Drosophila melanogaster: one gene and its partners. The protein of the gene in region 1 interacts with the protein of each later gene in a pairwise test. Each region holds a gene or a part of one and is shown in the gene's direction. Other genes may lie near its edges. The genes, in order: CG14451, C15, fd59A and CG17002.

Evidence for each region.
Region 2: the proteins of CG14451 (region 1) and C15 interact in a two-hybrid assay, tested with the Drosophila melanogaster proteins (one large-scale study listed by BioGRID).
Region 3: the proteins of CG14451 (region 1) and fd59A interact in a two-hybrid assay, tested with the Drosophila melanogaster proteins (one large-scale study listed by BioGRID).
Region 4: the proteins of CG14451 (region 1) and CG17002 interact in a two-hybrid assay, tested with the Drosophila melanogaster proteins (one large-scale study listed by BioGRID).

Annotation. Positions count from the first base shown.
Region 1 is NT_037436.4:22,719,707-22,725,994, reverse strand, and holds CG14451 (uncharacterized protein), read left to right. Parts: upstream 1-3,903; 5' UTR 3,904-3,953; coding exon 3,954-4,748; 3' UTR 4,749-4,765; downstream 4,766-6,288. Other genes in the region: mael (maelstrom), read right to left, coding at 1-390, 453-1,009, 1,066-1,264, 1,310-1,429.
Region 2 is NT_033777.3:21,496,084-21,504,187, forward strand, and holds the start of C15 (C15), read left to right. Parts: upstream 1-3,902; 5' UTR 3,903-4,174; coding exon 4,175-4,347; intron 4,348-6,170; coding exon 6,171-6,586; intron 6,587-8,104.
Region 3 is NT_033778.4:22,865,381-22,873,374, forward strand, and holds fd59A (forkhead domain 59A), read left to right. Parts: upstream 1-2,778; 5' UTR 2,779-3,121; coding exon 3,122-3,474; intron 3,475-3,794; coding exon 3,795-4,812; 3' UTR 4,813-5,326; downstream 5,327-7,994. Other genes in the region: CG13532 (uncharacterized protein), read left to right, coding at 6,416-6,479, 6,562-6,755, 6,850-7,012, 7,888-7,994. UniProt on the Drosophila melanogaster protein: Involved in development during embryogenesis.
Region 4 is NT_033778.4:6,982,296-6,990,412, forward strand, and holds CG17002 (uncharacterized protein), read left to right. Parts: upstream 1-3,747; 5' UTR 3,748-4,049; coding exon 4,050-4,481; intron 4,482-4,538; coding exon 4,539-4,638; intron 4,639-5,342; coding exon 5,343-5,393; intron 5,394-5,485; coding exon 5,486-5,970; intron 5,971-6,275; coding exon 6,276-6,473; 3' UTR 6,474-6,627; downstream 6,628-8,117. Other genes in the region: vimar (visceral mesodermal armadillo-repeats), read right to left, coding at 3,117-3,123; CG30156 (uncharacterized protein), read right to left, coding at 1-413.

The DNA of each region.
Region 1 (6,288 bases):
ACCGTGATGCTTACTAGAATTACGCATGCCGAGGCTGGGGAATTCAGAAACTTCGTTTAAATTTGCGGCAAAGGAAGTGTGGTCTATGGGCTTGTAGGAGCTTGATGCGACGGAAAGTCGACTGCTAGAAAGCGAACAAGCTTCGGGTTGGCTTTCCTTCTTGACCCCAGATCCGGGAAGCGAATAAAAAGAGTCGAAGGAGGACTCGTGGTCGAGTGAGGAGGCGTACGAGCTTATGATAAGGTAGTTGGGTTTTGTTTGGGCAGGTATGTGCTTTCCGGGTTGGACGGTTATGGCCAGGTCTCCGCACATAAAATCAGTGAAGGTATACGCCCATCTAGTCACCATACTCTGGGTACAGTACTTGGTTCGATCATTATCCTCGTGGTACTGCAAAAGTAATCAGGAAGGAAGTCAACTAGGGGTTATCAGAATTGGGAACAGAATCTTACCTGACACGCAATCCCTGCGGTAAACTCGAAAAAGTCTTTCTTAAAAAAAGCATCCGTCGCGAATTTGTTGATTTTCTCGTCATTCAAATCAGCGACATTCATGACCTCCTTCTTCAATATGAATAGCAAGTACTGGATATCAAACACCTGGATTTTTTCGCCCCCGTCCCTGAAGTCATCATCGCACTCCAAATAGCGGAAGCATGACTTCACCATGGTAATATTTTCGGCGGGTGTAAAGACTACTAGGGTCTTGCCTTTTCCCTGGCATTTGGATAAGTAGTCAACAATGTTGCGGTACAGCTTGGTCATGTTCTTCTCCCCCAGCGCGTTGGGCGGCAGCGGCAGGTCGTGAGTGGTTGAAGAGTGAAGCAGGGCATCGCTACCTTGCCCAAAAATGATCTGACCGGGGTCAATCATGGTGCTGTAGATGGATCGGATTCCCTCCTTCAACGAATATTCGCATGCCGCAAACTCGGCGGGCACATAGACGTCGGTGGTCAAGGCTTTAGTGAAGTAGTTGAAGGCAACGAAGACAAACTTGGCATTCTCCAGATCTGCGGCAGCGATTGGAGTTAGTCGAATCCAAATGTCTTCGAAATGTGTGACTTACCATGGGACATCTTGGCGTTTAGCACGAGGCGCTCGATGGTACGTTTCATGTCCATCAAGCTCTCGGTGGCCTCCCTTTGGGCCTTGTCCACCTGGCCGTGGCCGTTGGAACTTTCCCTTTTGGCGCGTTGCGCCACATTTGCGTCCTTGCCGCCTGAGTTGTACGGACCACGCTGCTGGGTGTTCATTTTCTGAAAAGGCTTCATTTATTACAGGGTAGATCCGCAGCATCGACCAAAACTTACCTCCCATATGGTGCCGCAGTGGGAAACAGCCTGCGCCAGCGTCATGCGTCGGCCCTCGGCGTTCCGGTTTCTCCACTCGTTTACGAACATCATAAACCCACTATGCTTCTTAGGAGCCATCTTTACGGGCGTGGCAAGAAGAAGGTCGGTATTTTTGACGGGTAAGGGTAGGTGTTGAGCGCGTGTGCGAGCGAGGTAGCGACTAAAGGCGGTAACCAATGAACAGCACGAGCAATTTATATGAATGTTGTTTGTATGTACGTCTGACCCTACAGAAATGGTTACTTCGGAATGTCGCGGGTGGCTTCTCTTCTGGCTTCTCTCACGCACGATTGACTTCTCTTCCAATGATCTGGTCTGTGGAATATATCACACAATTCTAATGAAGTGAAGCAGTTGTTTTGTCAGACGTCGATTCCGCTGACACTTCAAATATCTATTATTGACTGTTTTGGCGTTGCTGAGCACTAGTATCATTCCAGAACTATCGATTCTGGAATGGAATAAGAGTTTGTAAATTTATAATTAATTTATATTTATAATATAATAATTTATATTTCATAAAAATGGTTTAATCAAACCTAATAGCATAATCATCTATCGTCATGCTTTGTAATCGTATGAATAAACTGCACTTGCAGTTAAAAGCAGCCTAATTAAAGATAATACTGCTTATTTATAAATCAAATGGTCGACCATCGAAAACTAAAAATTTTTTAAATCGAAATTCTCTTTCGTAAAACTACAGTGTAAACAGTTGAGTCGAAAAATTGTACATATGTATGTATATCCACCCACAAAGTCGATGTGCTTTAGGTCTATGAAAAATTCTTTCTTGGAAATGGTTTGTTTAATGGTAAAGTAATAATATTGTTTGTATGTATGAACGATTTGTCTGAATCGGTAAATTCATGCTGAATATGAAAATGGTTTGGTCATCACACCGTTTTTGGTTAAAATGTTGTTGTTAAAATGATAAGCATAATCATTTAGAAAGAACTTATTATACCCGTTAACCGTAGAGTAAAAGGGTATACTAGATTCGTTGAAATGTACATATGTAAAAGACAGAAGGAAGCGTTTCCGATATACAGTAAAATATATACATATATATAGTAAAATTAGTTGTTATATTTTTTATTTGAGTCGAATAAATGCCCCGTCAGTTGACTAAGGACAACGCTAAGAAATAAAAAATGATCGGAGAAATAGTTTTAACGTTTTAGTTTTTTTAAGAGTAAAAATCAAATGCAAATTGAATTGAGAGAACCCTCATTATTTGAACAATATTTGTATCTCGGGAGAGCCTCGCTCTTGGGTTCTTAAGATAAGGAGAAGGTTCAAAGAGAGCAGTCAAATCGGCTTATGTCAGGTTTTAGGATGTTTACAAGAACGGCTGAGTGCCGCTGCCAAAGAATTCTTTATTAGAAACGGATGCTGCGCAGCTGGGATACATTATGGAAAATCAATTAAGTGCAATACTGTTTTAATTGAAGTGGCCGGTTTGGACCACCCGAATACGTCACTATATGTATATATTCATGATCAGCATCAATAGCCGAGTCGATCTGGCTGTGTCCTTCTGTCCGTATGAACGCCGAGATCTCAGGAACTATTAAAGGTAGAAGGTTAAGATTAAGCATACAGATTTTAGAGACAAAGATGCAGCGCAAGTTTGTTAACCCATTTTGCCAAGCCCACTCTAGCGCTCACAAGCCGCATAAAACTGTCACGATCGCACTTTTAATAAATGTGTTGATATATCATCACATTTTTAATAGTCTAGAATTCGTCCAGTAAAAGTTATACTAGATTCTTTCAAAAGGTACAAGCAATTAAGATTAAGATCTCTTGGGCCGCCTGTCTCTCAGTAAGAAATGTCTAGAATTCAGGAAGTAGAAGGTGGATATAAAGTATTCTGCTCTTAATTTTTGTTTAGGAGCAAGAGGGCGGAGAACTCTACAGCCATCAGCTGTTTTTACGCATCCAGTGACAACCGACAAGTGCATCTGTGCACATTTTACAATAGAAAGGTCGCATATTTTTATTTATTTTATAAATATTAACTTTTAACTATGTATGTTTGTATTATTTTTACAAAATATATTTTTAAATATGTATTTTCTCATTTTGTTAAATTTATGTTTTAAATTACAAAACTAATAATTATAGTTCTAGATAGCAACTTTATTTATAAGTTGAAATATTGATGAAATTAATGTTAATGCTTTAAAAAGTATTGCTCACAGTGCCCTGTTGAAATTTTGCAAAAAAATTGCCAAAAACTCCAAATATGTAGAATATGTATGTAAATTTTCTTGAATGAAAATTTATTTCGGGCCGAAAATCGTCTTCTAGCACAAGTACGCACACATATACAATTTCTCGTTTGTATGGTCAATGTATGGCCGTCACGCATCTTTTTATTCTAATGTATTTGGTCCTACGTCATTAGGAATAGCTTAATTAAAAAATTGATCAATTATGCACTCTAAAATTTAGAATATTGAGGCATTACCAATCAAATGGCTATACCTAAGATATTTCAATTTACCATAAGGGCCTTGCACAAATTTACCCAACACTGTCGATAGCTCGGCGCCATATCAGATAAGTTTTACTATGGAAATAGGAGAGCGTGGAAATGGAGAACAGGAGGTGCACCGTCGTTGCCGTGGGTGACCTTGTGGATGAGCTTGGCTTCTGTTGCGAGTGGTGTGGCAAGGTGTACAAGAGTCTTGTCCGCTACCACAACCACATTGTATGCACCCACAAGTTACCTGTTCCGGATCACCAGTTGGTCAACTGCTTCCACTGTCCACGCAGCGATTGCAGATTCCACAAGCATGGACCCGGAGTACAGAATTTTCGGCAAATTGGAAGGCTCCGCCGCCACTACCAGGAGAAGCACATGACAGGACACCTTACGTGCGAGTACTGCCAGAAGCAGTTTCAACTGAAGTCAGCGCTGGTGGCCCACAGATGTCGGCTGAGGCATCCAGCCATCAGGGATAGTCAGTCCGCCATCACTTTGGGGAGGCATGTGTGCAAAAAAGGCTACACGCATCTGGGCGCCCTACAACGGCGCCTCACCTGCTGCCAGCATGGAACACCAAATACTCCGACGGAGGACCAGAAGGATATAAGGGACACGGTGTGTCTGCAATGCAACAAGGAATATGTTGACACCCATCGCTGTTGTGTACGAACCGAGCGAAGCTTTCAGTCTGACCGTCTCATCTTCAGAAAGTCTAGTCAGGAGACCCACGGTAAATCCAGGTACCTGCAGGCGGAAGACTGGCGCTTTCTGTTTGAAATGGAGCAGCTTGTCCGCGGCATTGACGACGGGCTTGTGCGGGACCCTTTGTTGCTCACGGAACTCGCCTCTCTGGTGCCGGTGCTTCAGCAAATCCAGGATTCTGATTTAGAAATAAAGTGACATTATTTGTAACGACCAAATATAACCAAATTGTTGTTATTTGCTGCTCAACACTTAAGCTTAGTGTTGTCTAACAGTTTCATTGCTGGCTGTATGTCCATCGTTACGAACTAAAGGTTTGTTATCCCCTTTACTCGTAGAGTAATAGCAAAGACACTAGAATAACAAGATGCGTAACGCCATACGATTTTTTGGCACACAATTTTTTGGCCGTGGCTCTAGAGGTGGCTCCAGGCTCTCTCGAATTTTTGTTAGAGAGCGAGAGAGCGAAGAGCGCTACAGCGAACCGCTCTTTTCTACGCATACAGTGATAGCAGACAACTTTATGTGTGCACACGTATGCTCGTATGCACGTATGATTTTAACAAACAAATTTAAACAGCTTTAAAATTATAATAAGAAGGGCGCGAATTTTTAAAAATTATTTTATTTCATCATATTGCTACGAAATTGGCAAAAAACTACCCTAATATGTACAATGTAAATTCATTTCTTTGATCAGAATTGATTTCGGCCCGAAAATCGTCTTCTAGCACAACACGCACACATATACGCGTTCTCGTCTCTTGTTTTTACTCACACAAGCAAGCAAATTCTATTTTTAGATTTCTTATGTTCTCAGCGTGAGCGAGCAGAAAGAGAGCAATTTTGGCCGTCACCAAAAAAGTGGCTGCATAGTGCCAAACCAATGTATGGCCGTTACGCATCTTGTTATTCTAGTGTCTTTGGTAATAGGGTATACTGGATTCGTTGAATAGTATGTAACAGGCAGAAGGAAGCGTTTCCGAACATATAAAGTATATTTATTCTTGATCTGGATCAATAGCCGAGTCGATCTGGCCACGTTCGTCTGCCCGTCGAGATCTCAGGAACTACATATTAAAGCTGGATGGTTGAAATTCAGCATACAGATTCTAGAAAGACGCAGCGCAAGTTTGTTGACCCATGTTGCCACGCTCTAACTCCCAACGGCCTCGTCTACATTTTTGAAAATTTGTTCATAATTTTAAAAGTCTTGTAAATTTCTATCGATTTGCCAAATAACTTTTTGCCGCGCCCACTCTCACGACCTAAACCGGTCAGGCCGTCGTCACTTTGGAACAATTTTCAAATTTTTTCTCATTTTATTCCCCAGTATCTATCGATATCCCAGAAAAATGATTATTGAAAATTCACACTAGCTGAGCGAATCCTCGACAGAGGAACTCGACTATAGCATTCTTTTTTGTTTTTATCTTAACTACAAAAAATAGCACCACGCTAAACTTGGTACATTCATTGGGCGCACGTTCAATATGAAATTCAGCAATATGTTTTATTTAAATATTTCAAACAGTGCACAGCACAGTGCTGAGGTACTATTAGCTTGTCAGGAAGATCAAGAGCGTGCTCATCCACTGTTCTTACAAGTCGACCGCTTCGTTTTGAATTTTGGTAGGAGAGAAAACAAGAAGGAGCCGTTGGACCGACTTTAGTATGAACACCCAACTATGATGTAAATGTATTGCAAGTAATGATGTTTATTCTTAACCATAGGGAG
Region 2 (8,104 bases), on another chromosome or scaffold:
CCAACAGCCCCAAGAACAAAGAAAGAAACCACAGTTGCTGATTTTAGACGCTTTTAGGCAATCGTTTGAGCCAAATTACCAGAGACGTGGGGCGCCGTTCACTTCTCCCCGTTCGCCTTGAAATTGGCAAAATATTTTCCCCGCACACACACTACTACACCTACTTCAGGCCTCAAGTCTGATCAATTATTGATGCGTTAATTTATTGGTTGGCAAATTGTGTGGCCAATTGGCTAAAACAAAAACACACGCATTCAAGCCATTTTGGGCAGCCTGGCCTAATCGAAGTCAAGTGTGGACAGACGGATCGAGTTTCAAAAAACAATCACGACGGCCTTGCTCTGGAAAGGAACTTAAGTTCGATTTCACCAAGGATAGCACCCTTCCTTGCGTTGAGGGAAATCACCGAATGAACCAACCCACATATCGAGATACCGATAGCAGTGATGGCAAGGTAGTATTTAGTGAGGTACTGACAAAGTATGGATAGCTATTTGAGATGCGATTTAAAAAACCTTAAAGCTTGAAACTAGATATGTTTTTTAGGAGTTAGGGAAGGAAAGGTATTAGTCTATATTCCCTCCTTATTCATTAGCTAGTGGACCATCTCTACCCGTATATGGCGATGTCTTTGGTATTCATACAAAGTATTCCCGGGTATGTTTGCATTTTAGATTCGCATAAAGGTAAAACTGTCACCAATAATAGCCCAGCCCTGACCGCACATAAAATCCTTGCTGCGCCATCCTGAGAGAAAGTGAGACAGATGCCTGAAGTCAGAGAGGGAGCGCAAGAGATGGCTATAATCAGTATTGGCATTTTAAGTGACACTTGGTCTGCAGAGCTCGGCAACCCCCACAAGCCCCGCTGTCACACCAATCTGGATCACATCCCCCAACCCCAACGGCGAACCAAAGTCGCGCCGTGCTCCGCCATTTGTATATGAGCCAAATAAAAATGCATACCAAATGAGGTTGGCAGCACTGCCAGGATTTCGAACGGCAGGAGCGGTTGGAGCGACTCCTGGGGCGGTATTATTCGGAGGCACTTGCGCCAAACTTTGCTGCTGAATATTCCATGAAGTTGCCAATAAAGTCAAGTGGCAACGACTGAAGCTGTGGCTGCACCAGTTACAGTGCATACACTGAAAGAAGTTCGGGCATTTATTCCAACTAATTTGGTTTTACCTTCGGTAACAATTATAAAATTATATTTTTTCAGACATTGATTATTAGGAATATTCAGCTCTGAGAAGTTAAAACTCCAAAAGTACTGTAAAGATAACAATTAGATTCCAGAGGTTGGTTTTATCCTGTATCCTTACCCTATAAAGCTATGAGATTGGAGCTCCAAGGTTTTAGACCAAGCGGGTACGCCAAATCGGTGATCCTTTAGGTGGGTACTAAAAAAATATCCTACAACTAAATATAAGGATTTTCACAGAAAGTCGACAAGCAGTTAACTGATTTAAAGTTAATTGAATTTCACCAATAATCTGAAAGACACAACCTATTCTCCCAGTGATTGTGTAGATACACTTAGGCTAAGTTTGTTCTGGTTGTTGCTGTTTTGTCTGCCACCCGACTGCAGTGCGACGCTGCATACTAATTTTCCACAGCCCTGCCACCGCCCATCGCCCACCGTCATCTCGTTCTCATCTTGGAATCGGAACCACCACCACCAGCCTCTTAGCCATCTCCTCCTGCCCCTGCATGAATGCGATGTGGTGGTCTGAGCCTCATCATTTCGTATTCATACCAAGCACCAATTCCTCGTCGTTGCTGCCGCTGCAGTTATTGTTGTTGCCTGCTATTAAGTGAAATAAAAGTAAAAATGCAATAAAAATGTTGGCCGCCTCTCGTTTTGCATTAAAATTGCATTACAATTGCCGTGGATGGGGCGCTGTTGTTGCTATCTTTGTTGCTTTTATTACGGCAATTGTTTCTGCGTTGTTTCTGCCCAAATGAAATCCAATTAGCCGACTACAAGGCCTACCAACCAACGACTGCCAGCAGCAGCAGCAAAACAGCAACAATGACATTGCGAGGCGGTACGAAGAGAAATGGAGTTCGCCTCGTGACTTTTTCCAGAGTCCTTTCCACTGCCAAGTGGTGTGCGTGTGCTTTTGTGTGCCTTGCCAATTGAATATGCAGTAATTGCCTTTCTTCATTTTTGGCCATGATTTTTTGCTCGTGTCTGACACAGAAACATGGCCAGTTAAGTGCAGAAATGAATATTTATAGTCGTTACTTCTAGGATCGGACTCCGTTTAAATGCAAAGTGAACGGTTTGATTCTGCAGCCCACTCTCAAGAAAAATTGAATAATAATCAAATTATGAATAATGATATTATAAAGATAGGTAAAGATATGTAGATATAATTAACTAACATAATTTAACATTGAACAAAAAGCTGCATATGCAGCTTAAAACCAGTGATCAATATGTACATACATTGGCACTCTTTTAAATCACAGAATAGTATTTGTGAGGTACAATATAAGACCTTAAAGCAAATCATGTTTAAGAGTAACCAAACTGTGCAAGTAGAGATATAGTAACCCTTTATTATGAAATATAGATATAATTATCCTCTGACCAGTAGCGAATCTCCTAAGCGTAGTAATGCATTATCCAAGTTATCGCAAATAGGATTTGGGATTTTCATAACATTGCCTTATTCTGAAGGGGTTCACATTCCACATCTCGACTCAGCTATCTCAGCTAATGAAAACGGAGTACGCAATCGCTTCTGGCCACACACACGCATTCCATCCAGGCCGGCTAGAACAACACCTGAAACTGAGACTAAGACTAGGACCGAGATCCCGGCCAGCGATGAGCAGTAACATGGCTCGTGCCCAAGAAAAACTGTCAATTAACCCGTGGGGTGAACTTGTGGAAAATGCCAGAGCTGCTGCATCCACTGCATGCCGCGCAATTTGCATTCGCATGGCCGGGGCAAATGGATTGGATTCCTGTGGCTTCAGCTCGAGTCTGCTTATCGCAATCGCCGCCTGCCAAATGCCAGGCGATAGCGCGTAGAACTCTTGGCGCTAATAAAGATCTCAGTAGTAAGCGGTGTGAGGTGGTGAGGGGTGACATTAGGCGGTGGTGCAGGGCAGCCCTCCTGGCCAAATCCGCTGCTTTGTGAACTCAAGCTGACAGAACGCTATTTCCAATTGTGCTATTAATCTGCCACATTTGCACTTCCGCGGAAAAGAGTCGGCGGGCGGATGTGATCTCTTTCGCTCGTCAGTTGGCTGACTCGCTCTGCAGGGGTGATTTGCGGGCGAGCGAGTGAGACAGAGCGAGGCAGAGTGGTAACGCTTGGCTAACCTGAAAATAGAAACAATCGAAATAAAAATACATTCTCTTCATGCTCTCGTCTAATAAAAAACCCCAAAAGCAAAACGTTTTCCATTTAAAATGTCGTCGCAACTGCCAGCGGGAAGTGGACGTCGAGAGTGGCAAGTGTGTGGGGCAAACTCCGGCCAGCGGCCAATGGCGGTTGGCCGAGGCCACGCCCCGTGGCTCAATTACCGACCAGTGCTGCCCATCGGCGGGCAGAGCGAAACCTGTTTCCACGAGCGAGAGGCAGTCAGGCGCATGTGCGATCAGAGCGGGATGGATGGCTCAAGGGTGGACCAACCAGAAGAGGCAGGTTGCTGGTATTATGGTAGGTTAGGTTCAAACAAGGTGGCAAACTGGCTCTTAACCGAAATAGGAAGGAAGTCGGCAGCGGCGTCGACGTCGGGCAACTGGTTTGACTTGTTTCCGGCTCACTCCAACAGCCCAAACCCACCAGCAATCGGCAGAGGCAGCCAAGTCGGCAGAGGGCAGGCAGAGCAGCGGCCGTCGGCACAATTTGATTGCATTTATGAAAAGCGTTTTCGCCCGCTAGCACGCGTCCGCTCCCAGCTCGCAATTCGCCATCCGTAATCCGTAAACTTTAATCCGTAGACCGTAATCCGTGAATCCAAAGCAGTTCTCAGTTGGAATTTCCCGCAACGGGTAGTGCTTAAGCGCGGAAACTGAATTGAAATCAATCGGACGATTAGTGTGTGCTTCGCGGTTGAAACACTCTACATCTAACTATTAAGAGAAAAGAGTGCCCAATAAGATTCGAAAAGTGCAGTGAGCGAGCTCCAAATTGGCGCCACTAATTGCCAAAATGTCCAGCCACGAGGAGGATGACCATGAGCACGAGAACGAGCACGGCGAAGAGGTGGAGGAACAGGAGATCCACGTGGATGTGGACTCGGACTCGCGGATGTCATGTGGCAGCGGATCCGATGTGGATATGGACGGCGGCAGCTGCTACGACGAGTCCGAAACGCCATTGAGGTGAGAAGGAGAGCTTTTAAATAGAACCAGGAAGTAGGAAAAATGTCCCAAAAATATAGATATTATCAGTATAGATATACCATAAATAAGCAGATCTTCCAATTACAATAAGACTTCTACATATACATACATATATTATTTTTTTAACTAGATTGTGATAAAATGCTTTGGCTTCCGTACTACTTACTTAAAACTGAAGAGGCCTTTTTTTTTAAAATTCATTTTGGTAAATATTTTTCAAATATGAATAACGTCTGAATTTATGTACGTTGCAAAATCGAACAATAAAAAATATTTTTGGTTTAATTGTATCGTAAATAATCTGCTACACTAAACTTGAAAAGAGATTGCATCTCTATTAATAATAATAATGGCTTTACTTTCAAATTATACGATGTACAAACATAATAATTGGTCTGAAACAATTCATTACGGAAAATCCCCAAAAAAAATATATTAAAGAAAAAGCTCAGTTTTTCGTTTACTCTTGATGGTTATGATCATCATGCAAATTAATAAATATTTTTTTGTAAGTACTGGGCTTGATTTAGTTGGCCACATTATTCGTTAATTACTCATAAGTCAAAATTTAGATCGACAGCAATTTGATCGACTAACTGAGAGAAAAAGATCTATAAGCTATAGTTATAATAGTTGGCATACAGTCTTATTTTATTGCCCTATAAAAGTCAAACAAGTATTGTGGCGGAGAAAAGCTATTTGCATTTGTTATTACGAGCTCATAACTCCCACTGTTTTACGATCTTTAACATTGTCACTCATAATGCTCACAAATCCTATTTTTCGAATCGTGGCTCAACGCCATTGAAATGCGTTGATGTTTAAGCCCCATTGTCCGCTCTTACAAATGGTCCCATTTTCCAGCGACAAAAGGGGATAACAAGATGCCAGAGCATCCAGCAGACCGTGTTAACTGATCCCATTCAAGCGTTTGTGCGCTTAGAAGAACAGTGTGAACAAACCTCTTAAACGCTAATGAATTGACCACAAAGCCACCAAAAGAATCAAGTCGAAATGTCCCATAAAGTGCCAAAGAAACTCCCTGAATTTACATAGTTCACGGATGGCCAGGGTTTCCAATAGACGACGACGATAAAACGCACATTAGTAAGGCGCCAAAAACGGGCTGTGATAAGACATTGGGGTCCATTTGGGGCTCAATCTGGAGTTGGATCTTCGGCTTGAATGCCGGACAAAGACGAAATCGTTTGTCGGATTAACATTTTAATAGAGATCGTCATAAAAATGCCATAAAACCCGCGTTCCAGCGAATGTAGATCACCAGATAGCAGCAAGTTTTGGCCAGTGAAATAATATGTGTTTGCTCATAACTTTTGATATTGGAAAGTGTCTGTGTGTCGGTGGTTGGCGATTTGAGATCATTGTTCCGATACAATTCCATTCCTGTTCCAAATGGGTTTTTACTTTTTGGATTTATAAATTAAATGCCGTGCGTGACTTGTTTTCGGTGCGTCAGTTGATGGCATTTGATGATTTATGGGCGCGTATTAAATGCCTCTAACGGCCGTCAGCATTTGCATAATTACTTCATTTCCAGCCGCATTGCGTATACGCAGCGGTGGCCACACGGGTTCTGCATGTCATGTCGTCAACTCGGCTTATCCGCTCGCGTGGGCTTTTGGTTAGTGGTTCCGAGACTGGTACGCACTGCAACAGACTTAATTATAGTCAATGTTCTCAGGCTTTCCCGCTTATCGGGCGACACATTTTAATGAGCCCGCACCTCCAGAGGGCTTCTTTCCCTTCGATTCTGATGTCTTTTCTCCGGTTTTTATTCCCAGCGAGTCCCTGCAGTCGGAGCAGACGCGCTCCTCGTCCAGTGAGAATCTGCCCTTCAGCATATCACGCCTGCTATCCAAGCCCTTCGAGACGAGTCACCACCACCACAACAACAACAACCACCTGCTCAGCAGCAGTCCGGGCTCCAGCAGCAACAACAACAACAGCGGCGAAAAGGGCGAGGAGAAGGAGCTACTGCAGCAGGAGGACCACGACCTGGCCTATAAGCTGGCCACCAGCATCGCCAACTCGACATACGGAAGCGCCGCAGCACTATACTCGTATCCGCATCTCTATCCCTCAGCGGCCGGCGGTCATGTGCTACGTGTACCGCCCCAGAGAACGCCGCTCACCTGGGCACTACCGCCACTGCATCACGCGGCGCTGGCACATCAGGCGGTCAAGGATCGGTTGGCAGGTGAGTGAATAGCAGCGAAGTCAAGAGGGTTTGCCAAATCCAACCCATTCGGGGCCCCCATGTCGGGATGGCCCATGTTCGCCGAGATCTTTCGGGGGAGCGATCCTCCAATGACCCGCGGTGGCAATTGCTACTGTTCCCCAAATAAGCACGATCAGAGAAGACTTTTAAGGCAACATGCCTATCGGCATGTCATTGTTGGCCAACACATTCGTGCACCAAGAGAAAATGTGGCATTTGAAATAAAAGAATTGGTAACATTAAGAATAAAAATGTTATATATGTGCCTACATAACGCGTAGTTGGATGCATTCAATTGTGCAATAGGGTGTAGGAACATAATTTTAAACTTCTTGATAAAACATATTTTTGTATATTCATTGTTGAAAATAAGGTGCGAAGAACGTTGTCTAATGGTCTAAAAGGGCTTACTTACATATTTCCTTATAATATAATTACGATGGTCTATTAGATGGTATTTTCTGTGGGTAAGAAACAGCTTAAGGCTAGAACACAGGTCTCATAATACGAATTTTCGCTCAGTGTACACTCACTCTGGTGAGCTTGGGATGCTAAAGTATAAAAACATGTTTGCCTTCAAATGCGCAATCGCAGCTTAAGTTAAAAACTTAACGCTGAGCCGCCGCCCAGAAGCGACTCAGGAATGAGATGCGCCTTCTTATTTGCATGCGCATGCGCAGTTGAATTTGTATCTGTATCTGTCGCTGGTCCTCTGAATCCGTATCCGAATCTGTATCTGTATTCCATCTGAATCTGCAACTTCACGTGCAGCTGGGTCTTCTGGCTCCCTTTTTGTTAATTTGTTTACATTATGAGCTTCACTTGTAGCTACAAGCGATGGGCACAGCGCGAGCCCTTTGAAATAATGAGACGGCGTTGATTTTATTACGCCTCGGCAGCCGAGGGATCTTCAATGGTGTGGAAGGGGGATCCCGATAGGGTTCGGATCCTATAACTCATAATATTCGGGCCTTTTTCGGCCTTGTGATGTGGAAAAGCTGCTTAGGAGCAGCGCAGCCCGGCAATCTGACGGGCTTTTATGGCCGACATCCGCCCAGTGGTTCTGGTTAGCTGTTTGGCCTTTTTCTTCATTTTAGTTATTTTAATGAGCTGGTTTACATGACTTTTTAATTTCGCGCTGCGCTCGAAAAGGAATTAATTACGCATTGGGCGGTCGCTGGGCTCAGCGAGTGAGTTTTCTGTCCTCGCCGGCTTATTTATCGCCGCATACCGCACTTCACATTTGAGTCCAACTGACATGGTCAGCTTTTAATTAGCCAGTCGAATGCTGGCGATCCGAGGGCTGCATATCCATATCCATACTTGTGTGTATATCCGCCGAGGAGGGGCATTCGATCGAGTGGATCGTATAGAATGGAATGGGATCGGATCAGTCACTTCGAGTCGACTATTCCACCTGAGGGGCACACTTATGAGCCCGCCGGGTGATCCAAGCTTCTGCCGCTCGGTTTCGTTTTGTCAACATCTTCGTTTTCG
Region 3 (7,994 bases), on another chromosome or scaffold:
GCGCTCCGTTTCATCCGCTTGGCATATCCTTTGCCGGCTTGCTTGTGTGCAATAAATTTGCTGACAAAAGAGGGATTATTGCTGGATCATGCCGCTGTTGCTGCAGCGCGGGATGAGGACGCAGGATATTCATGTAGATATATATAGCCCGGAGATGGAGCTGGCGGTGAGGCTGAGCAGGATGTGCTCCTGGTGGCTGGTTCCTGTCAGCGTGCATTCCTCGGCGTTATTGTTTGGCCATAAGTTAATTGTTCCCCTGCGAAAGCTTTAATGCACCGCATCCTTACGCTCAACTGGCCGCCCGAGTCCTTCGTCCTTCATCCGGACTCCTGCCGTGCTAAGGCGGCGATTAACCGTAGTCTGACAGGGAACATGGATACGGCTGTGACCACGGATTGGCCCAGGATAGTGGCTGTTGGAATCGTTTAATTGCCATGGAAACTATTGAGCAGGCGGATAAGTAATGAAAAGTGGATTGAAAGGGCAAATATTTTCGATATACTAGATGCAACTCGCGGGGGATAAAGTGGGCTAATGTTTTTGAGGATGACTGGTAGCTATAGATAGATTATCCTCTATGCATGGTGAGCTATATTGTTGTTAACCATTCTACCGATACAGTTACACATATATTAATGCTGACTCTAGTCGGAATTAATTACCAATTGTTGTCATTACAGTGTACACATGCAATTAATACTCAATAGTTTGAAACACATATTCCTTTTCGATTTCCAGCATTTTCCAGTAATTGGGTACGTTTTTGCTTGATTTACCTGTTTATAAAGTTCCGAAATAGTTTAAGCGTTAGCTTCGAAAAACTTGATTACATTCTGTGTCCAACCAATTTCATTTGGCTGCCATGAAATGTTCTGTTTGCTCATAAAAAGACAAGGATAAGCCTCAATAAATTTTCCGCCTCGAAATTGGGGAGCAGGCAGAGCAGAAACGACCCCATGTAAGTATTGTATATACACCCTTCTATTTATGCCCCCTGATAATACCAACACTACTAAGCGGGATAAAGATACATACCGATGGCCGATGCCACGCCCCTAAAAATCTGGCCAAAAAATCATTGATTTGTAAGTGTAACAATGGGTAAAAGGTGGGCGGGCGTGGGGGAATTGGCAAATGGGAATTTTGGGGGTGGCAAAGCTAAAATAGAATAATGAAAACGATGCCAAGAGTGAAAGAAGCGACATCAATATGGTTCTGAATTCGAAGATGGCGGCCCTTATTGTATTCGTGTCTGTTTCCATGCATCTGTGTGTGTGAGTGAGTGTTTGGTTGTGTGTGGGTAACTTCCGCAAAACTGGAAAACTAATTTGAACAAAGTACAACAAATAAAAGTGACTACTGAATGTTTAATTTGAAAAGGGAAGGCTCCAAACACTGAATGGCGAACAACAACAATGGCTACAACAACAATGTCTAACAACTGGAGAACAAAAACAGCGAAAATGAAAAAGAGAAATAGTACAAAACTCACTTGGATACAAGTACAAATGCAGCAAACACATGTACGTCCAACCCCCTCCCGTCCCACCCACTCTACTGCTCTCTCTCTCTCACTCTAGTAGCCCCCATTGTGCTCGGAGGATGTTGGTGAAAATGGTGCATTTGATTCCATCTCACTTCCACACCCAAATAAAATATACAGAAAAAAAACCAATATTATCTATATTAGATGTATTGTATATTGTATGTATTGTTTTAAAATTATATTTTATTTCGGTTTTTTCGCATTGCTAAAATGACATAACTGTTCTATGCATTTTTTTTTTTTTTAAATGTATTTAATAATAATACATTGTATTATATACATATTTCAGTTAATCGTTCTTAGAATAACCAACAAAATATATCCTATGAAAATAAATACAATTCTACTTATCTAACTGCAAAGAAAAGTCCCTATAACTTCGTTACTTAACTTAAGTAAGATTTGTGGAATTTGGACTTTACATAATTAAACACATAATTAGATTCTTTTCTTTTTTTTCTTTCTGTGCATAGGGACAGAGGGCTGGGAATGAGATTGCGAGCCCGAGAGAAACCAAGAAACGTCGACATACGGTTAGAAAAACATTCGCACATAAAAATGCCAACATTTGAAGCATAACATTTGGGGCAGAGGAGCAGAGTGGTGGTTGGCAGGGCGAGTGCGAGGACGAGGGAGGGCCGCAGGGGAAAAGGACGCCTGCCTCCATGTGGCTGACATAATGAAACATTATTAAGAGCCACGACGTCAAAGCGGCAAAAGGTATCTAAATTTGCGCAAAATGTTTATCCCCCCCACCGCCGCGTTCGTTGGCTTCTGCAGTCGCTGCCAATTTGCCGCCGCTTGGAGAGAGGAAAACACAAATATCGCATTTACAGCCAGGGCTCTCCACCATTTTGTGAGGACTTGCAGCGAGTGGGAGAGGGATGGCACGAGCTAGTTCGCATAGATTGGTTCGCAGGATATCAACCCATCCCCCGCTAGAAAGAGAGGCTTGGCCGGGCTCTCTTGCTCTCTCTCCCTCTGCTGCGATGCTGTCGGGGCGCAGCCAGGATGCTGCCAGGATGCCGTCAGGATGCTCTGCCCGCGCCAACGGCGACGTCGGCAGTAGAATCACAGTTATTCGAGATACGAAAACACAGCAACGGCGACACAAAAGCTCAGGGAAACGTCAGCGGCAGCGGCAATGGCAGCGGTTTTTCATAAATAAATGTTTGAGTTATGTAGAAAAACATTTTGGGCGAGAAGATTTTCGTTTTCGTTGCGATTCAGTTAACATTTGGCCAGCGGATTCCGCCTTCAACGGACGCGACGACGGACTAGGCGCTAGCCAACTTTCCACTTTCCACACCACTGCTGGCCATATGTACAGTTTATCCTAGCAGCTAAACCGGAAACGACGGTAACAGCGAACGGTTAACGGAAGCGGAAATAGAAAAGAAAATATCAAATTCCAAGTTGAATCGAAAAGCATATGCAAATGCCAAGTGAAGCAAGTGAAACGCCAAAACGAACACAGTTCCTGAGCAAAATAGTTAAATAACAGTGTTGCGTCCTCTAAATTTAGTGAGTCCAATTCGCGGACTCAAATAGACTACAGTGTATACCCGCTAAGACATGCACACCAGCACGGATCCCATGCACACATTGCACGACAGCGTCTCCCTCTCGCCGCCGCTCATCAAAAGCTCCAGAGGCGGCTCCTCCATCGGCAACGGAATCGGATGCAGTGCGTCCTCGCGCACTGCCGCCGCAGATGCCATGTCCATGGGCTGCGACGACAGCGACATCGAGCCGTCGTCCATGGGCGGAAGTGGTGCCGCCGGCGGCAACGGAGACGGCTCGGGATCTTCGGGTGGTCCCCTGGTAAAGCCACCATACTCCTACATAGCTCTAATCACCATGGCCATTCTTCAGTCACCGCACAAGAAGCTCACGCTCAGCGGGATCTGCGATTTCATCATGTCGCGGTGAGTTTGCCAGCAAAGTTAATATCCTTAAATGAAGAAGCAATAGTTTGATTTTTTCCAAGTTATCTTAAAACATCAGAAAAAGAGAATAAAAGTAGTAGTTTGTAAAGACGATAAAAATAAATAAATCCTATAAAATTTCAATTGAAAACATAGAAAAGAAGAGACATTCAGTGCTTTAATCGATTTCAAAAATTATAAATTTTAAAATGTGATATTTTATTTACTGATTGCAATGTAAGTGATCTAGATAAACAACCAAATTCTTTAAAAAAAATTCCTCGAAAAAATGTTAAATAACTTGTGCATTTTACTTGTAGCTTTCCATACTACAAGGACAAATTCCCCGCCTGGCAGAACTCCATCCGGCACAATCTCAGCCTGAACGACTGCTTCATAAAGGTGCCCCGCGAGCCGGGAAATCCCGGAAAGGGCAACTTCTGGACGCTGGACCCGCTGGCGGAGGACATGTTCGACAACGGCAGTTTCCTGCGCCGGCGGAAGCGCTACAAACGGGCGCCCACCATGCAACGCTTCTCGTTTCCGGCGGTCTTTGGCACGCTGTCTCCATTTTGGATACGCAAGCCCGTGCCCCTCGTGCCAGTGCATTTCAACGTGCCCAACTTCAATGGGAGCAGGGAGTTCGACGTGGTCCACAATCCGGCGGATGTCTTTGACTCAGCGCTGCGAGCGGACAAGAAGTTTAACTTCTTTGCGAATGCCGAAGCATCCTTCTACCAGGGAAGTCAGTCGGGGGACAAGTTCGACCGGCTGCCCTTCATGAATCGCGGTCGAGGAGCGGATGTCCTGGATGCACTACCGCACAGCAGTGGCTCCGGCGGAGGAGTGGGCGGGGGATCCGAGAGCAGCCGTGGCTCCAAGTACAAAAGCCCATACGCCTTCGATGTGGCGACTGTGGCCAGTGCTGCGGGCATTCCCGGCCACAGGGATTACGCAGAACGACTGTCCGCCGGCGGTGGTTACATGGATCTCAATGTGTACAATGACGATGCGGACACAGAGGCCGATGCGGAAGCCGAGGGAGATGACGACTCATGCGAGGACAAGATCGACGTGGAGAGCGGCAATGAGCAGGAGGACTCACATATCTCGGACTCGGTGGACAGCGCCTGTACAAATCGCCTGGATGCGCCGCCGGAAGCGTTGATCTTTGAGGCTTCTGCCGAGGCGTCCGATTCAAGTCCAAGGAGACGCTTCGATAGCGAGCCCCTGGTTCTGCGGACCAGCAAACAGAGCAGCGCCAAGGACTTTCGCATCGAGACGCTGATTGGCCACCACCTGCATCGCGGTGGCAGCCAGGAGGAGACCAGCGACTAGGCGGGATTCCCACTCGCTTGAACCAATTGGCTTGTGTACAGTCCATTGAACGGTGATTTCAGTTTCGATCTAAGCACGTTTTAACAGCCCACTAACACCACCACCAGCAATCCCCAGGAATCCAATCCGAGCAGCAAGTAGTGATCAGTAGGTGTATCCGTAGGATGTAGGAGCCAGCACACGAGTTTTTAAATGCGACCAAATCGAAGTCAACGCTATAGTTGCCAGTCCACTTACGTACTAAACATATATCTGCGCGTAATATCTATGTAAATCTGAAGCATCGCACGTCTATAGTATACTTTTAACACGAATTCTTGGGGTCTGGAGTCGGGATTTCAGGTTCTAGACCTATATCTACCATGCAAGTACTAATCATGTGTATGTGTGTGCGTGTGCGTCTGCGTGTAACTGTAACACATCCAAGCAAGAGGAACACTATTAACTATAAATTAGACTAAGATTTTTGCTGATGTTATTGAAAATTGAATAAACAACAACATAATAATAGTTTACACGGATACATGTTTGACTGGTAGGTACCGATATACGTGTTGTTACTACAGCTACTACAGCATGTTACTAATATGTTTGTAGTATACTAAATATTAATTTTTAATCCTATTGATACCTGTAATATTGTATTATTTTTATAATTATATTATTATATGTGGCCACTCTCTTCCTTGTAATAATATCCTTAAAGGGATCCCTCTTTTCGACGTTTTGTTACCTTTTGTTTGCAATAAAACACCCCGAGTTATTTGAATTTACCGCCCAGCAAACCTGTCCAGGTGTGGCACCCCTGCCTGGAAATCAGTTCAGCTTTAGCGCCTGCGCAGTGACCATCGCTCAGCTGATTTGGCGCAGGACGTAGTTGTGCCGCCATAGAACGCCGTGGAGTTCGGCGCTACCAAACGAAAGCTCCGCTCTCCCACGAGCGTCCCGTTGGCTTCCAGTGTTAAAACATGAAAAGCTGCGCCTGGCAGCGGGACAACAGTGTGCCGCCGAAGATACCAACACCAACTATTGGTATCCGCCAGCAGAACTCACGCGCTACGCCGAGAGTACGAACTCCACTTTTGGCACAGTTCGCCCCCGCGGACTCCATTCCGCACGCACACACTATCGCAGCCGTAGATGTTCGTGTATGTGGGCTGCAAAAAGTCGATTTTTCGCTAACAAAAAGTATCCTGTCCTGTGTGGGCAAAACTTTAAATGGCCCGGGCCATAAAAGGAGATTGCCATAGTTGCGACTTGCAGTGGGAGATGTCCTGCGAGGAGCTGCTGCGTCCGAGGTGCTGAGCTCGTTGGGCCGAGAAAAGTTTGTGCCAGTCAGTGCCCGTATCCCCAGAAAAAAGCATCCCCCTGCCATTCTGCTTCTGTGATGAGATTGGTGATAATGAGTGCAACCAAAGGCCCCCATGTATCCACATAAAAGCGCAAGCCGAAAACAGACAGCACCGCGATAAGTAGAAACGTCCAACCACCACAGAAGTATTCATTGCCACGCACAACGACGGCGCGTCCTCGCGGAACGGGAGGATCACGAGCGACAGGATCTGGAGTGCCCAGCGACGCTGAGGCAAACTAGTCGGCTGTCATGGCGGGCTGGCGAGGACGAGGCCTACGCGCCACGCTGCTGGCCGTGCTCGCGTTACTCTCGGGTGAGCAGTTCTCGCATACATCCTTTTTGGGTTCCTCCAAACTAATCCTGTACTCCTCCTACTCCGCCCCCATGCCGCATAGTCACTCACTCGGTGCGCATCACCAACCTGCGGGTGCCACGCACCTACACGCTGTTCCGAGACCACGAACCCGATCCTCTGGTGCTCGACTGCGAGGTGGAGATCGGGCCGCGGGAGCAAGGATTCGTCCTCAAATGGCTGTTCAATAACCACTCCATCTACCAGTGGATACCATCGGTCAAGGGGTTCGCCATGGTGAGTCACTCGGGGTCTTTGGTCGCACCGAATTAATTAAGATTAATCGAACTCTGTCTTTGTCTTCGATTTGTTCTTGTTCTTGCGCCTGTAGGGCTTCATGAAGTCGAAGATAGACACCAAAATATTCACTATGGAGGGCAGTCCCGGTGTTATATCGATAAAGAATCCCGACTGGAACATGACGGGGGAGTACACCTGTGCAGTGCAGACCTTCGAGTCCACGGATAAGCGGAGTGCCCGCCTGCAAATAATCGGTGGGTGTCACGACCACGGCCAAAAGAAAAAGGATCGGCGGTGAAAGATGTGCGGTGGCGATGGGAATGGGAATGGGTAGCAGGTGGTGGTGGGGGTCGAAAGGTCTAAGGTGGTGGTTCTGCCTCTGGTTCTGCCGGGTAACCTGCACCCGCCCCCATCTTGACTTGGCCCCCGCCACCAGGGTGTTTGCATAGGTGTTCTCGTGTCGGTGTTTACACAGGGAGACAAAAATTATGATTTATGTACTTAAAAGCCATTAACAAAAGCCGAGAAAGCCTTACTCTAATGCGCTGGCCTTTATTCTGTCCCACTATTAGCATTCATTCTCTCGCATATCATCTTGTGCCTGGGCAATTCTAATTTAAATTTTCAACGTACCTTTTTAAGGAACTTATATTCTATTATATTTCATGATATTACTTTCTATTTTGTTTTAAAGCAACTTTGTTAGCTATATATATATATATCCATAACTACGGTTTGAATATTTTAATCTTAGTTAGTATCTGAAGTTGTTTTCAGTGCTGTAGGACAACTGTAATTGGCTTAGTCAGGGCGTTCCCAATCGAGTTCCCCTTTTAAATGCTAGGGTCAGTACTTTTTTTTGCTAGTGCAGGTGCTGGGCGCCGTCTGTGTGGCACGTGTGATTCGCTTTCATATTTGCATGCGTGTCATGTGGCAGTCTCTGCGGTGTCCGGAACCACGGCTTGTTTGTGCTGTTTTGTGCTTTTCTTTGGGACACTGTTTTGCTTGGTATTGTTTTGTTTCGTTGTTTAGTTTGACACTTGATTAATTCTCACGACTTTTTGTCTTTCGGCTCCTGTCCGCCGGCTCCACCACACACCCTTCGTCCAATCTGCTCCAATTGCGACAGTTCCTGAATCGGATTTCATGCTGGAAGCGCGGATGAGCGGTTCGCGTATGGACGTGGACATCATGTGTGCGGTCCAGCACGTCTTCCCGCAACCCATGCTGTCTGTC
Region 4 (8,117 bases), on another chromosome or scaffold:
CGGAAGGCCTGCTCAGCCCCAGGAGATTTGTTCTTGTCCGGATGGAGGCGCAGGGCCAGCTTGTGGTAGGCCCGCTTCACCTCGGAGTAGGTGGCATGATGAGAGATGCGCAGCACCTCGTAGTGATTGCGGCACCGCAGGACCTTCTGCACCACGTCCAGCATCTCGAGTGTGAACTTGTGGGGCAGGGCGTCAGATTTGCGAGTTGGGCCTATGGTCCGCTGGGCCTCGCCCTTCAGCCTCAGTCTCAAAATGATATTCTTTAGCTCCAGCAGCGCCATGATCTCATCGTGGTTCTGTAAGCCTTCCAGATCCTCGTTGATCTGCCTCAGAGCGTGCTCGTAGTGTCCCAGGCACAGGTCACTCACCACCTTGTCGACGCAGTGATGCCTCCTCGCCTGCAGGATTCCCATTGTGAAGTCGTCGTCCTCCAGTTCTTGGTTACTTTCTTCTCCTTCCCAGCAGCGTGAGAAGACAAAAAAGGATTCGTTTTTCTCTGTTCGTTTGCAAATTTTAAATTTTGGTTTGTTGTTCTGGGACAATCCACCGAGTTGGTGAATTTAACAAAGTGCTTTTGTATGTATATTAGAGGTAGCCGAAATAGTTTCGAACTAAGTTGACTGTATATGTATATGTAGCTGCAAACTTAAATACAAATTGACTTTCGCCAGTCAACATTTTGTATGTCAACACAATGAACACTTGAGAAAAGACAACTTGAATCCGTTTTTTACATACCAGCCAGCTTATTGAACATTTAAATCATGCAGTACTCGTGTAAATACCAACGAATTTACCAACTTAAAAGTTGACACAAGTTGTACAAGTTGCTTAGTTTAGAGCGGAAAAAACTAAAAGTTTGCACACAAGTTGCACACTTGAAGCACACAAGTTAGAACGTTCTGTCGATGGGGGATTCCCCAAAATGCCAACCCTCTTTTGGCCCCGTAAAGTATGCTCCACAACTTGTCAAGGGGACACACATAGCCTCCTCGAAAAGACTCGAAAGTTAATTGAAATTAATTTCTATGCCAATTTGAATAGGGCACGAACTCAATTAAAACAGAGCTAGCCACCAACCACCCCACAATTTCATCTTTTCAAGGCGGCCTGCTCGCCCCATTCATTCTCAAGGCCATTAGAAGGGCCAAAATCTTATTAGCAGTTAAAAGAATAAAGCGAGTGGAAGGCGCTAGGCACGGGGAAATCACAAGTCACCCAGCTAGATTTGAAGCAAATGAAGCAACGACGCCGGAATACGCAAGAAGGAGGTGGAAAAGGACAATAAATTCGAAGCCGGGCAAACTACAATAACAGCCAGCTAATCTGGGTAAGCTGCGTGGAACGAATGGAAAAGCCCAAAATAATAACAATAACAATAAAGAGGCAGCAGCTCCGGAATCTAGAATCTGGAATCTGGCGAGGGGAGCGGCCTGCTTTGGCAGCTGATATCCTCTTCCTTATCAGACTCCCAGCCTCGGGGTTGATGGTAGCCACAGCCTCAAGGACAGCAGTCAAATTGCGTCGAAGACGCCGAGCGAAAGCGTCGACAAATGCAGTCACAAAGGACCAATTAAAGTCCAAAGTGACTGAGCCGCAGGGAGGACGTGGCAAGCATCTCGCAGCTGGGATCTGCACAGCGAGTAAATCATGCCGCAACGGTCCAATGGCCTGCATCCTTGAATTTTATAGATGTCCTTTCATTAGATTTCAAAACAATCTATAGTAATGTCGAATAGTATTTCAATGTACTATACTTCAGGTATAAAACTTATGTAACACTTAATGAATGCTCCGAATGACAGGTCTTGAAAATCATATATTCAGCGCAAGTTTCCCAGTGCTTGCATATGAATTAAAATGAACAAGAACCACGAATTGTTTTCAGTGTGGAAATGGGTCTCGCTACGCTGGGCGCAGCTGGTGGGTTCTGTAGACAAGTGAGGTGTACAGTGGTGTGGGGATTGGGATGCAGCACCCCTCCTGAAAAAGGGGAAGTTTCGAGGCCGGGATTGCCGGCGCGTTCAAGTGCTGTTTGTTGTCGTTCTGCACAGGTTCCCCTCGGGAAAGGGTATACAAACAGTACAGTCTGTGGCCAGTGTTTATGTATGTGTTGATTCGGTGCAGTCACGTTTGAAAACTAAGAAGTTTAGAGACTTGTTTACGTTTAACAATTCTCATCGGTGACTGACCCAAATATAACACATCCAGTGCGTACGTTACACATCCAACTACACTGAGAAACACAAGAAAAAAAGGGGTTTCTTTTAGTTAGTCACAGCTTTATCTTGACAATGACTGCGCTTTGACTGCAAAGTAGTATCGAATTTTAAGCCCTTTTAAGCTTAATCTGTGAAGATTGTCCTAATTGTAATGTTTATCAACAATTCAACAAAGTTGCCATAGATTTCTCACTGTGCATGACTTCATCGTTTTGTTTGCTATATCACCCCCCGTGGGGATAAAACGAATTGTGAGGACTGCGGGGAGTGTTGCGACACGCCGGTAAACCTGGCACCTCGCAGGAGGCATATTCTCATTTATTAATGCGTCGTCACTGCTGTTCCCAGTTCCCATTCCTATTCCTCCTGTGCTGCGGTGGAGTGGGCGGCTCGGGTGGCGGGTTCGTGCAAAACGGTGGTGGCCGCTGTCTCAGCCGCACTTAATTCCCGCCAGAACTGCCGGGGCCATTAAAGGATAAAAGAGCGGGATTTCTGATTGGGAAGCGCTGACCCTGTTGGCCGCGATAAGTGGGTGCGCACAGCAGCAGGAGCACGGCATCTGCCTAATCCGACCGGCCCACTGTGCAGTGGGATGGGGAGTGGGGAGCATAAGTATTGATTTTTCTCACATGTCCCCGGCAAACACACACATCTTGTCTAGGGAGCCGCATCGCCCGCCCCCACCCCACTGCCCCTGCTCGGAGCAACTTCCTCCGACACCTGGCAGCGATTTGGAAGTTTTCGCAGCTCGTAAATGCTGCACTGCAGCCATAAAACGGCCGCTGCAATGACTCGCATGAATTGCGTTTGTTTATGCTATGGAAAAGGAATCCGGGGTCTGCTGTATGTCGTTTGGGATGCTCCATAGGCAGAGAAATGCTCGATGTTACTCACTCGCCATGTTTGCCGCCTTTGTTGATTATTCCGCTGCTGCTTCTTCCGTTTTTATGCTTTTCTGCTTTTCTTGCTCTGCGTTGGTTGCGATTCCAGGCACGTTGTATCACTGTTAGCTTGTAACAAACACTGCTGATAGGCTAATGACTGCTGCGCGCAACTGAACACATTTCACGGCTTTCTTTCAGTCGCGTCTCCGTTCAACTTCCGCAATATCCGTATAATTCGTATTATCCGTGTAATCCGTATTTTCCGAATCGCGTTCAGACGTTCACACCAACAACTGCAATTCTAGTGTGACCGCAGAGCTCGAGCTGCACGATACCTCCAATGAGAGATGCCATATCGATGCTTACGCATTTTATTAACATCGATAGACATTTCTAGAATGTCTAGACTTTAATGCTTGGATTTTCCAAAAACTATAATCTGTTTCCAAAAAGTTATCGATAAGTATCGATCAGTGTTGAAACTATTTGTATTTTATATTAAATTCTGGGGTGTGACTAGTAATATTAGGAATATAAGCTTTAAAGAAAAAATCGAATTCTTTATAAGTGATTTAGTTCGAACGTTAACTTAAGATTTGCCACCACAATCGGAAAGTAGCTATTTTCTAGCTAGCTTTGCCCATTAATCGATTGGTGGCAACACTGGTCGGCACATCCCACTCACTCAACAAATTGTTTACCACAAAAAACCGTGCTGAAAGTGAACGAAAATAAAGTGCAGCCCGGCGTCGAGCATTTGCAGTGATCCCAAGACGCCCAACCATTGATTCCCGTAGCGGTGTCCACCCGGATTCCAGCCCACCGCCACCAGCACGCCATTCCATTTGGGGAGCCTCTCGGTCGGTTCGGTCAAACAGTCGCGATTGCCCGGTCGTCCACGAACGCTTATAAAATTGGCAAGATAACTAAGCAGAGCACAAAGATGCCGCCAGCATCAGCGGTAAACAACAGCAACGCGGCCGCCCAGGCGGCGAAGGCCGAGCGGGCGGAGAAGCTGCGCGGGGCACTGAAGGGCTTCATCGTGGCGGACCGCCAGCGGCGCCAGGAGGAGTTCGAGGCTCAGTGCGAGGAGCAGCGGCTGCGACGGGAGCGCGAGGAGGTGGAGCGCCAGAACCAGGTGGCCCTGGATGACACACGCGGCCAGATAACCCGACTGGACGAGCAGCTGGCCGATCTGCACAGCCAGAAGCATCAGCTGACCGTCCAACTCAAGAAGGTGCTCAACGAGGACGAAACGCGCAAGAAGCTGGCCAAGGAGAACGAACTGTTCGCCATCCAGCAGGCGGCGGCCAGTAGCCCGGTCTTCCTGCCGCCCCTGCGCCTCCAACACCAGCACCATACGCTGATGCAGAAGGTCTCGACTGCGCAATTGTGGGATTCAGGTTCTAATGGTCCTCTTTTTTCCTCGCAGCTCCCGTCCGGCGGACAGCCAGGAAAACGTGGCAGGAGTCCATCGCCGCCGAGTCAGCAGCAGGCTTACTACAAGAGCGCCGCCAGCTACGCCCAGCAGAGTAAGCCAGGAAGAGGTCGACAATGTGGTCCCTGGGCCTCCGATACAGTGAACGCTGCCTCAGGCAGGCAGTCCAAAGTCTCATGCACGCAATTTCGGTTGGATTTTGTTAACTCGAATGCGGGATCTGCTCATAATTTGATTAGTCATTGAATTGGTTAGCACATATGTATGGTTCTTGATTTGGACGAGAGATATACGTGATTTTTGTGATGTCATCATCTCTACATTCTGATTGCCAAGCCCTTTTTTAAGCTCTATGAAATATTAGCACTAATATCAATTGAACTTCTAATTAGGAATGATTGCAAAAACATGGTTAAGTGTTAAGTAAATAATCAATTCGATATAAAGAAAGTTTCGTGCTGTTTAGGCTTTGTATTGGATGGTTTAGTTTAATGTGTTTTAATGTGCACAAAAATTACCCTATTATTTTGAAGGATATATAGTGTAGAAACGATATATATAGGGTTTCTAGCAGATAGCTCGAGTTTTAAAATTCAACTGCAAATTGGCATTGGCTAAAGGTGCGATACAATCACCGATTGATCTGTTCTGCGGAGCTTTCGCTGTTCTTCTTGATTAACTGCTCGCTAACACTCCGTCCCGTTCATGAGAAATCCATTTCACTGCGCACACTAACCTCTAACAACACAGGCACACAACTTATGTTCATTTCGTTATTTGTTTACGATCGATTCGCAGAACACGATGACTACCGTCGTGCCGCTGACTATGCTAGATTATCATGGAACAGTAAGCACCTCACTTGCAATACCAAGCCCGAGATCCTCCGTCGGAACGATCGCCAGATTCGTCAATTAAACCTCACTTTTCCTCTCTTCCAGAAACAGCGGCACAGTATCCGGGCACGGGAACGGTCTTCTACCAGACGGTCGCTCCTCCGCCGACGACACAGCACCAGGCGGACGCCCGCTTGCAGTCCATCTACAACTACAACCTTCCGTTGCGCCAGGCCTACCACGTGGACCTGCCCAGCGCCACGGTCAGCAAGCCGCCCGACTCGCAGTCGCCCAAGGCACCGTCGCAGTCGCAGCCCATGCAAGTGCTTCACATCAACCTCGACCAGCCGACCATTTCGCAGGCAGACCTGGTGGCTCAAGCCGGCGGCAGCCTCTCGGTAAAGGCCTCCCAGCCACACGTGACTATGGAGAAGCTACCGGACCGCTACCACATCGAGGTGAAGCACGACGGCCAGCCGCCGAGCCACGTCCCGCCTCCGCCACACCTGCTGCCGGAGGGCGTCATCTTCAAGCCGCTGCTCAACGAACTCTCATTGCACAGCAACGTGCTGCAGATAAGCAGCAGCCAGGTGGGTCTCATTCTCAACATTTGTGGTTAATTAGCCGTGGCAGTGTCTTAGAATTTACAACTTAGAACAAACAAGTTAGATTTACATCTTCGAAATCGAAGTTCAACGATTAGGCTCTGCGAAAATGGTTTTTAAAGCCTGAGCATCTTGAATAAGAGCTGTTTTCTATAAAACAAATTCATTGTTGCAGGTTTTCATGTTTTCATAGGAAAACGCATTAGAACCAACTTCCCAACTACTGATTAACATGTTTGATATCATTTACAAGGAAGAACTAAATATTCACTTGACTAACGCCTGGCCAGTTTCCTCCACAGAATCCGAAAACAGCGGGAAGCATCACACAGGGCTATGCCCCTGGACGAGGTGGATCCGCCCACGAGCAGCAGTTGGCTCGGCAACAGCTGGCGATGCTGCCTGGCCAGCCGGGAGCACCGTCCGGATCCGGCTCCGCCCAGCCGCCTCCTGGTCAGCAGATGCATTACACGCGGCGATTGTACTAGCCTCTAACCCCTAACCCCTTTTGTCGCTACGGAACTCGCTAACTGATATACTTACGATTTTAAATAGACATTACAACACTGACTACGCTTCCCACGTGAAGTCGGATAAACGAAATAAAGCACACAACTATGGCGTCCCTATTTTCCAATCGACAATACCATACTGATATTTGATATTGATTTGATATTTGGTATCAATGGGCTTCTGTGGTTCTGTGGTTATACCATAATAACTTTGAGGTATCGTAGTTCTAATCACCAACAGGCAAATTGATCTAACTCGAAAGAGTTTTTGAAATTCTGGGCAATAGAAATTGGATCATGTATACATATAAAAAATGACTATTATATAAAATGGTATGTACAGCTGTGTTCAGAAAAATAGCAGTGCGAGGAATACTAATTAATACAAAGGTATTTTTCCATGTCCCTTTTCGGAATTGACTTTTTATTCCACTTATTTTTGTTAAATGGAATGTGTATATAGGGAAAAAAAGAAAATCCGGTTAGTTTTTCATGTTATCCTTTTTTTATTTACTTTCTTAAGCGAAATCACAACTTTTAGGCTGTTCATAAGAATAGCAGTGTCTGGTTTTGACCAACGTAAAGTCAGGAAATGATCAATATTTTTAAAAAGTGAGTTTGATTAATTCGTACATTTAAAAGGGGAGTAAATGAAAAAAATTATATATTAGTGGGTAAAGGACAGCACTGCTCCCAGGAGAAAAGAATGTTAATTATTAAGCTTAGAAAGGAAGTAAAAACATATATGAACATTCAAAAAACCCTTGAATGTTCTGCCAAAATGGTATCCAATGTCATTAAATATGAATGGAAGCCCGAAAACCGTGGTTCCATAGATATAACCACAGATATATAGCATCGACGCATTGTTTCTTACAGCAAAGTCTATCCTTTTGCATCCTTTAGGGACATAAAGTCTGAGCTCAACTTGGGAATCAGGGACGATACTATTCGAAGACGACTACTAAATCAAAATTTCAGTGCGAGGAGTTCACGAAAGGTTCCCCTACTTAGCCCAAGGCATATTTAGGCAAGGTTAAGCTTCGCTAAAACCTACCTAAACTGGCCAGTCTTCAAATGGCGTAATATCCTTTGGACTGATGGGTCAAAAATCGTGCAATTTGGTGGAACGGGTTCACTACAGTATATCTGACGACCTCCAAACACGGAATACCACCCAAAACACCCACTGAAGACTTTCAACCACGGTGAACCTAAAATTGTGGTATATGCTTGTTTTTTTTTTTACAATGGTATGAGTCCATAACATATGATTTATGGTATTATAGACCAAATAGCATATGTAAATATACTCATTGATGTCTTACTGTAATATTCTGAATATAATATGCCCTTAAAATGGACATTCCACCAGGATAATGATCCGAAATGCAGAAGCAAATCGGCAAAGAATAGGTTCACCCAAAAATGGAATAGATGCAATGCCGTGGCCAGCACCACCTTACGATTTAAACCCGATTGAAAACCTGTGGGGGGAAATTAAACAAAATGTGTCGAAGAACTCCCCGACGTCTAAGGCTTAGATTTGGAAAGTTGTGCAGGATGTATGGGCAAAAATTCCCCCAAATGATGCCAGGACCTGGTGGACTCCATGCTGCG